2 linked regions of the Nothobranchius furzeri genome follow. The protein of the gene in region 1 purifies or fractionates together with the protein of each later gene. This does not show direct contact. Links are inferred from orthologs where the notes say so. Each region holds a gene or a part of one and is shown in the gene's direction. Other genes may lie near its edges.

Evidence for each region.
Region 2: the proteins of slc15a4 (region 1) and lgals3a purify together in Homo sapiens (affinity purification with mass spectrometry; 3 studies listed by BioGRID and IntAct, counting the BioPlex papers as one, with this or other methods). This does not show direct contact. The link is inferred for Nothobranchius furzeri from reciprocal best matches to the Homo sapiens genes SLC15A4 and LGALS3.

Annotation. Positions count from the first base shown.
Region 1 is NC_091757.1:35,119,557-35,123,972, forward strand, and holds the start of slc15a4 (solute carrier family 15 member 4), read left to right. Parts: upstream 1-1,587; 5' UTR 1,588-1,904; intron 1,905-2,114; 5' UTR 2,115-2,156; coding exon 2,157-2,723; intron 2,724-4,416. Other genes in the region: glt1d1 (glycosyltransferase 1 domain-containing protein 1), read right to left, coding at 1,125-1,192. UniProt on the Homo sapiens protein: Proton-coupled amino-acid transporter that mediates the transmembrane transport of L-histidine and some di- and tripeptides from inside the lysosome to the cytosol, and plays a key role in innate immune response.
Region 2 is NC_091758.1:19,583,181-19,587,716, reverse strand, and holds the start of lgals3a (galectin-3), read left to right. Parts: upstream 1-1,447; 5' UTR 1,448-1,595; intron 1,596-1,963; 5' UTR 1,964-1,966; coding exon 1,967-1,981; intron 1,982-2,107; coding exon 2,108-2,815; intron 2,816-3,655; coding exon 3,656-3,744; intron 3,745-3,833; coding exon 3,834-3,990; intron 3,991-4,536. Other genes in the region: gmfb (glia maturation factor beta), read right to left, coding at 749-751. UniProt on the Homo sapiens protein: Galactose-specific lectin which binds IgE. May mediate with the alpha-3, beta-1 integrin the stimulation by CSPG4 of endothelial cells migration.

The DNA of each region.
Region 1 (4,416 bases):
GGTCGCGGGACAGCAGCCTAAGCAAAGAGGCCCAGACCTTCCTCCCTCCAGCCACCTGGGCCAGCTACTCCTGGAGATCCCCAAGGTGATCCCTGGCCAGCTGAGAAACATAGTCCCTCCATCGTGTCCTGAGTCTTCCTTTAGGTCTCCTCCTGGTTGGACATGCCTGGAAAACCTCACCAACCAACCTGATGCCTGAGCCACCTCAACTGGCTCCTGTCTATGTGGAGGAGCGGTGTATCTACTTCAAGCCTCTCCCGGATGACTGAGCTTCTCACCCCATCTCGAAGGAAAAGCTCAGACACCCTTTGGAGAAAACTCATTTTGACTGCTTGTATCAGCAATCTTGTTTTTTAGGCCACTACCTAAAGCTTGTGACCATAGATGAGGGTTGGAACGTAGATCAACTGGTAAACCGAGAGCGTCGCCTTCCGGTTCAGCTCTCTCTTCAGCACAATAGACTGCATAACTGCAGACACAGCACCAATCGATCTCCCGCTCTATTTTGCCCTCATTCATGAAAAAGACCCAGAGATACTTATTTTAACCCATAAGTTAATTAAAATGGTTAGTGACTGTATGATCTCTTGTATAATAACTTTTATGCATCTCTTTTGAATGATCAATCTGATGAAAATAAGCAAAGTATGTTTTTATGAAAACATGTATAAACCAAGAACAAGCTTTAACTCAACTTGTGGCTTTTGCATGAATTAAAATAAACTTTTTTACCTAATCCTACATTAATAGAACATACCAAGCTAAGCTAGGAAAAGGTCATTTGCAACAGGTAGTTGGTGTGCTTTTTAAACTAATGCATAAAATCTGTAAATGCCACTACGGGCAGCGAACAGTTTTGCAGCAACTCAAAAATGTATTGGCCAAAAAATTCTGAGGTTTCACTGAAGGATGCGACACTTCCTTGATGCTTAAGATCACGTTTAAGCCGAGGTACTGACAGTTGTTACGTGCATTTCACAGATATTCATAATGGTGTAGGTGGTTTAGTGCAGCACCACCAAACAGCTTCACTTATACATAACATCGGTTAGGAATTACCTGTAAGTTACTAGCTAATTAATGCGCCGTAATGGGTTGTTTCCATTCGTTCTAGAGTAAATTACCTTATTCTGTCAGCTGTTGTATGGTTCCCGGTTTGGGGGCTGAGAGGGGCGAGGAAGAGTAATTTCATTTCTCCACAACAAAATGCTCTTTGTGCAGCTAACACTGGTGACGACCAGCCAGGAAAAAGCGACACACTCTCCGCGCTTCAGCCGGCTCTCTGAACTCAGCTCCTCTCACATTTCCTGGATTCATGCCCGTAGCTTCCACGTAAGGTAAAAGCTGACGACAGCTACCTCATATTACCAGAGAACCACGCTTGAAATGTTTACAAGTCCGTCTCCAATCCTACTCCCTGGAAACACATGTACCGGTGGAGATCAGATTTATATGATTTTTATTCCGTTTTATTTGAGACGTCGCATACAGGACATCCTGATTGCACATCTATTTCTGGAACACTTTTTGACAGTACACTCATTCGTAACTAATTATGTTAAAGTAAAAAAAAAATAGAAACAATATCTAAAACTAACCACTTCCTTATTCTGATGGTTCAACGCATGCGTAAACGGGAACAGATATCTAAATCATATGGATGGGCTCTTACGCTCCTTCTACAAGTCTGTAGGGAACAGTGTAGTTACGTATCGTCTACGCAGCGACGCAAATGTGGCTGTTTGCAGTGGGCCGGCTGAGTGTCACGCGATAGAGGTGTGACTGTTTTTGTGGACTTCCAGTTCTCTTTTGAGAAAGTATGAAGCTAGAAAAGAGAAACTAGTGCGGTTAGCATTAACGGGGCTAATTGAGATAACGGAAAACAAGTGTTTCATCAATTGAAGGTAATGTAAAACCCAACATTTACAGCTATATTCGTGTCACTGCTGAGCTAGCTTAATAATGTTTGTACTAAGTGTATGTTTTATATTTATTTAGAAAGTCAGGTCTCTAACAATTCACACGTTGTTTTCTAAATCGGTGTTAGTTGTATTCAGTGTCTACACCAGATGACAGCTTTAATTCATCTGTTTTTAATGTATATTTTCCTTCAGGTCTTACACAAACCAGGACCAGACCAAAGTTGACTGTTAATCATGGCTAACAACGGGGATGCCGATGAGAGCACCCCTCTATTGGACTCCGATGACACGCCTTTACCCCCATCAGTCTTCCAGGGAAGGAGACTTGCTTGTGCTGCCATCCTTTTTGCTGAATCCCTAGAGAGGATTGCTTTCTACGGCATCACATCCAACCTAGTACTGTTTCTCAATAGTAATCCTTTTTATTGGCAGGGTACTCAGGCAAGTCAGGCTCCTCTGATGTTCATGGGGATAACTTACCTGATTTCACCATTCGGAGGCTGGTTAGCAGATGCATACCTGGGGAAATTTTGGACTATTGCCTCAAGTTTAATCTTGTATTTTATTGGCATGCTATTTTTCCCTTTGATTTCACGTGATGACAGCAGGATACGGCTATGTGGAGAAGAGACAGCATTTCCACTGCAACCTGTTGAATGCACAAACGGCACCCGTACACCAGATGTTAACTGTCCTATTCGAGCCCCATATTGTGGCCCAGTGGTCTACATTGGACTGTTTTTAATTGCACTAGGTGTGGGGACGGTGAAGTCAAACATCACTGCATTTGGAGCAGATCAGGTAACGTAAAAAAACCTTTTCAGACTTTATTGTCATTGTAGAAGTAGAGAGTAAGTTCCTTGTAACCTAAGGGATCTGTTTATCATGTGATTCATCTGCTAGATCAAGTGTGCAGTGTGCAATTATGGTAGTCAGATGTGATTGATATCCTCTGTTTACCATGACATTTTGCTGAGACACACATGCTCTTAATCTCCATGACGTGAAAGTATAGTTATGTGAAATGAAAGTATGAAAATATGTTTCATGCAAAAGGAAAGTTTGTTGATGATGCTGAAGGTGCAAACCTTTGGTCATCTTTGCCTACTAATAAATGTGGTATAGTTTGCTTGGGAGCAGCAAAGCACACTTAGTGTAAGGGATGTAGGAAAATATCAATACACTGAAATAATCTCAGTAATTCATCATAAGATGCTGATTCAACATTTGAAAGCAGTTTACAGAATATATTATTGAGAATTTACACGACCATATCTATATCTTTAGGTGTGGTGTAATTCAAACTCTCACTGCTAGGTGGCAGCAATTTTTACAGCTTTTACGTTTTACATTCTGACAGAACAATATCGCCAACACTTTTTGTAGCAATATATCGTATAGTTGTCCCTGTTTTGTGGAAGATACAAAAAGAAAAGGAAAGAAAGAAAGAAAAACGATCTTTTATTTAGCGCCTCTCAAGATAAATATCACAAGGCTCTTTACAAAAACAACACATTTAAAATATAAAAAAGATTTAAAAAAACGATTAAAAATATGTTTAAAATTACAAAAAAAAATTCATTTGTGTTTAAAAAAATGTAAGGAAAGGGAATGAGAAAATGAATAAAAAAGAGGGAAATCGGTGGACCCTGGGAAAGGTGGAATAGTTAGAAAGAGCATAAAAAGGAGAGGGTGGTGGCAAAGCCAGCCTGAACAGGTGAGTTTTCAGCTGCTTTTGAACTGTATCACCTGATTCTTGCCAATGCACTTCCTAGCTATTGTAATATTTTACATATAATATTTCTCTCTCCCTGGGCTATCACCTTACCGTGGTGGAGGGGTTTGAGTGTCTCAGTGATCCTAGGAGCTAAGTTGTCTGAGGCTTTTTGCCTCTGGTAGGGTCACCCATGGCAAACAGGTCCTAGGTGAGGGATCAGACAAAGAGCAGCCCAAAGACCTCATTTGATGAATTATATAAATGGAAACCGTGTTCCCTCGCCCGGACATGGGTCACCGGGCCCCCCCTCTGGAGCCAGGCCTGGAGGTGGGGCACGTTGGCGAGCACCTGGTGGCCGGGCTTTCACCTATGGAGCCCTGCCGGGCACAGCCCGAAGAGGAAACGTGGGTCCCCCTTCCCATGGGCTCACCACTCGTGGGAGGGGCCAAAGGGGTCGGGTGGTAGTCGAGGGCAGGGACCTTGGCGGTCTGATCCTCGGCTACAGAAGCTGGCTCTTGGCACATGGAATGTCACCTCTCTGGTGGGGAAGGAGCCTGAGTTGGTGTGTGAGGTTGAGAAGTTCTGACTAGATATAGTTGGACTCACCTCAACGCATGGCTCTGGCTCTGGAACCAATTTCTTTGAAAGGGGTTGGACTTTCTACCACTCTGGAGTTGCTCCCACTGAGAGGCGCAGAGCAGGGGTGGGCATACTAGTGGCCCCCATCTTGGTGCCTGTACTTTGGGGTTTACCCCAGTGAATGAGAGGGTAGCCTCC
Region 2 (4,536 bases), on another chromosome or scaffold:
AAATAACCACCCAGCATAAATTTATATTGAAAAGAGTCAAGGTGTCACGACACAGTCCTAACGACCCGAAGGGAAATTCATCAGAAAAAGAAGGCGAGTTAGCGTAAAAGCAGCTCCCAGAAGCCAGGCATGTTAAAACCCATCATCAGACAAATGAATGATGCGTCAAGCTGCCTACGCACCATAGCAGGAACACGACACCACGCACTTCACAGTAAAAGCATCTGGACTTGAAAATTTACCCAAACTAGCCGATTCAACGGTAAAAACACAATAGCTGGTCACAACCTTGAAACAGCTATTGCTAATAAATTATTAAAAGGATATTATATATTTTTAATCATCAATTATTCATTTGAGTGGGTCGAATACACAAAATACACACATTTGAATAATAAGTAATCAATTTCAAATTTGACAATCAACAGGTAATGATTAATACATAAATTGTCAGAGATTATTTATATAAATAATGTGTGTTGATAAATGATCATGCATGTTGCTTTCCGAGGCCAATAAATCTATTTTATTCTGAAAATACTGACCGGAAACATATTCGATGTGCGTTGACAAACTTGCCACGATACACAAAAAGAGGGTGGAACTAATGCTAGGCTAACAAGCTAACAATTACAATCTGCGACTTTTCATAAATAATTCGCAGAATTAATTTGTGAAGAGTTCGTTATTAAAACACAAAAATGACAACGACGCCACTCCACGTTCACAAGCAAACAGAACAACTCACCATTGTTGCTGCGTAAAATCCCTCCTAACGCTTCTGCTGCTGTTGTGAATGGCAGGAACGCTTTCTGTGTTTTTTTTTTTCGTTTACTTCATATCATCTTGTGACTGGTTAGACCAATCCCAAACAGGCACCCCTTCACTTAAACCCTGCCCAATACATTCAGCTCAGCAGTAAAACGTTATTTTAAATGATACAACCGCACGATTAACACATTGTTTAAATAATCCAGTTTAATTTCACAGCATAAAAATAAATATTTACATTTTATTCTTGCATATATATCAGGAATAAGGAGCTGTAATCATTCATTCTTCATTTACTCAGTCTGGCTGTGATCGATTCTACTGGTTACACACGCGCGCCCGCACACACACACACATACACACACTTTTTTTCCCCATTTTCTAAACGTTGTAGTCAACCTTTTTGCTCATCCACGTGGGCTTGTATGTATTTATATTTGATATATAATGTATATAATGTACATTATATTTATATGTAATGTGTGTATTTATATTTAACCCAACCGAACCCAACTGTGTAAAATGTGCATTGTAAATAAAGTTAGATTGGTTTATGAAAAGTTTTGCCCCCCCTCAAAAAAAACCCCCGCTGTGGACGCTTGTGTGCGCGCGCGCACCGGAACGCACCCACCCCGTAATATACGTCATCAGTTAAGCGCGTGTGCGTCTTTCCTTTTCAGGAGTTGTAGTTGTGAAAGCACATCTAACGTTAGCTTACACTTGTGAGCCTCGGCAGCCACAACAAGCAGGTTGAACCGTTTCCAGTGCTGGATAATTCGTCGCTCTTACCCTCCGTGGTTTAAGGAAAGTCCAGCTTTTGTCCGGTATGTTCAAAAATCCGCTTTAGTGCATTTTACTGTACTCAGATCTGAGCTAAACAAGCGTAAACTACTAACAGTTAGCTGGTGTTAGCTAGATCGGTAGCCAAGTCTGCAACATATTACTAGAAAATTCGTTCCTGTTTCCTCGCTAATATGCTATTCACTGTCATGGCATTTGTGTAACTTTCCACTGTAATATATTTAAGTAATGTCGAGTTGTTTGGAGCCTGTCAAAATGGATTCTGTTAATCTCCACGGTTGTAGGATGGAAACATTTACTCAGAGCTCAGACCTGCCCAGTGATTCTGACACTAGCTTGTTAAAACCGGTTACTATAAACTCACGAGAGTTGTTTTTGTTCCTTCTTTTAGATCATGGCGGATTTCTCGGTAAGTTGAAAATGTTTACACTCACCTATTTACGTCCCTTCATATTGTTTTTATTATTAGCTTGTAGTTGAACAGATCTGTTGTTGTGGGTGGAGACGGCTAATTGTACTTTCTCTCCCTCTCTAGCTGACAGATGCTTTAGTAGACGAACCATCAAACCCGCCTAAGATAGACAATACCAATCGTTCTGTACCAGACAGAAATCCCCCGCCTCATTCAAACCCAGGATGGCCTGCTTCTGCCCCAGGAGCTCCCATCCAGCCCACAGCACCTGCTGACTTTAGTGGCGGATTGTCTGGCCCAGGTGCACCAGGCTCATTCTCATATCCCTCAGGTCCTGGAGCACCAGGGCAATACTCCGGACCTCCTTCAGCACCTGTTGGGTTCCCTGTTGGTCCTGGTATACCTGGGCAGTACCCACCTGCACCAGGAGCTCCAGGCCAGTTTCCCTCAAGTCCTGGGGCACCTGGGCAGTTCCCTGGCCAGTATCCCCCTGAAGGAGTTCCAGGACAATTACCTGGAGGCCCTACTCCTTACCCAGCTGGACCTTTTCCTTCTGGCCCTGGAGCTCCTGCTGGACCATATCCAAATGTGCCTTTTCCTGGTAGTCAGCAACCAGGAGGAAATGGGATGTACGGACCAGGAGGTCCAGGTACATTCCCAGCTCCAGCTGGCCCCAGTTCATTTCCAGCATTCCCTGCTGGTGGGTTTCCCCCAATGCCACCTGGATCATGGGGAGCACCGGCAGGAGGTGGTTTTCCTCCTGCACCTGGCCCTTTTGGGTCCAGTCCTATGAGTCCATATGGGGGGCCAGCCTGTCCAGGAGGCACATTGGTGAGTACTTGTTCTTCTTGGAAACATTTTTCTTGCTTGCTGCACTTCTTATCTGGTGTATTTCTCATTTGGTGTTTGGTGGCAAGTCAAGGTGGTGAGCAGAAACGGTCACGTTCATGATCTGGTTTTGGTGGCGGCTGCATTTGGGTTTTATTCCTTCGTCTTTGAACACTGCTCGGGTGCAATTTTTATGATAAGCAGAAGTAATCTCTTTTCAGAAGGAATCATAGAAAAATCTATTTTTGTCTTTCAGCCCAGATATAATCCACCATTTTATTGAAAAGTCGGACAAGGACATCACTTCCAGCTTCAAAGCGTGGTTTGATTAGTGCCAAAGACTGACTGTATTCCGTATCTGATGGCAGTTGTGTTCAAATGTAAACAATAAACTGGGTGTAATTCTTTCAGTGCAATATTAAATAAGTTATATTTTTACAGAACATCTATTCCCTAATGATGAAAGTTTACTCGGATATTTTCTATCATTACAGGACAGATTCAGATCTGAGGTGTTGGAAATGTAATCGTTAAACTGAACTTTTTACTTTTTCATTACTTTGAGAAGTCACCGGGTGTTGAAACAAATGAAGAAAGTTATGACTCATTCAGGTGCTGTGGTAATAATGTTGGCAGGGTCAAAGTTTTGATTAATGTTTAACTGAATTCCCTTTATTTCCTGACAATAAACTTGTATGTTACCAAGTCAAGAGTGTTGTTAATAAAGGTTAAACGCGTGTGAATCTTCCCTGTCGGATGTCATTTATCGGGTAAAAACTGTTTTTATTTATATATTTATGCACAAAGTGCCTGTCTCATTTGTGTTGTAAATGTTTCTTGCAGATGTTGCCGCATGATCTCCCCCTTCACGCTGGAATCATGCCGCGACTTTTAATCACGATAATCGGAGAGCCTGTTCCTGGTGCAGTCAGGTACACGTTCACAAATAGCATTCAGCTCATGGGACTGATGTCAGATGTGGTGTTAGGGGAGAAAAACAACTATTTGTTTTCTTTTTCAGGTTCAATGTTGACTTCATCAAAGGTTCAGATGTGGTTTTTCACTTTAACCCTCGGTTTCATGAGCAAACCATTGTTAGAAACTCTAACTTAGGAGGTTATTGGGGGCCCGAGGAGCGCGAAGGACCCTTCCCCTTCGTTGAGGGACGCCGTTTTGAGGTAAAATCAAAACAAAAAGCTCAGGAGAAAGAAATATAATTTTATTTTTACATCTGTACTTTATAATAAGAATACAGCAAATGTAACGGAACACAGAGACTTTTGAAATTTTATAAAAGATGTAAAGGCAGCTTTTTGAGAGTGATGCTACGGTGGTCCTCCATGTTAGATGTGATTCCACCACGACATGTTTTATGCAGGCGTGAGATGCAATATTTATTTACACCTAATTCAGCAAGCTTTAGTTAGATTCAGTATCAGAAGTGTCATCTCAGCAGCTTCCTGACGGGCCCGCTGATCTAATAATTACAGAATTAAGGTAACTTTTATGTGAACTTCCTATGGTAGTGGTGGTTTTTTTTTTTATTAGTGAGGGTCCTGACTTAAAGAGCAAGTCACCACCCTGCCTGAGTCTTTCTCCACTCACACTTCTTGTTTGAAAAAAGCACAAGGAGGTGTTGCCTGGCAGACCAGGTGGGCAGATCTGCGCTAGAGAGTGACAGACTGCTACCCCCACCCCCCTGCGCTCGATGGTTCTCAGTTCGA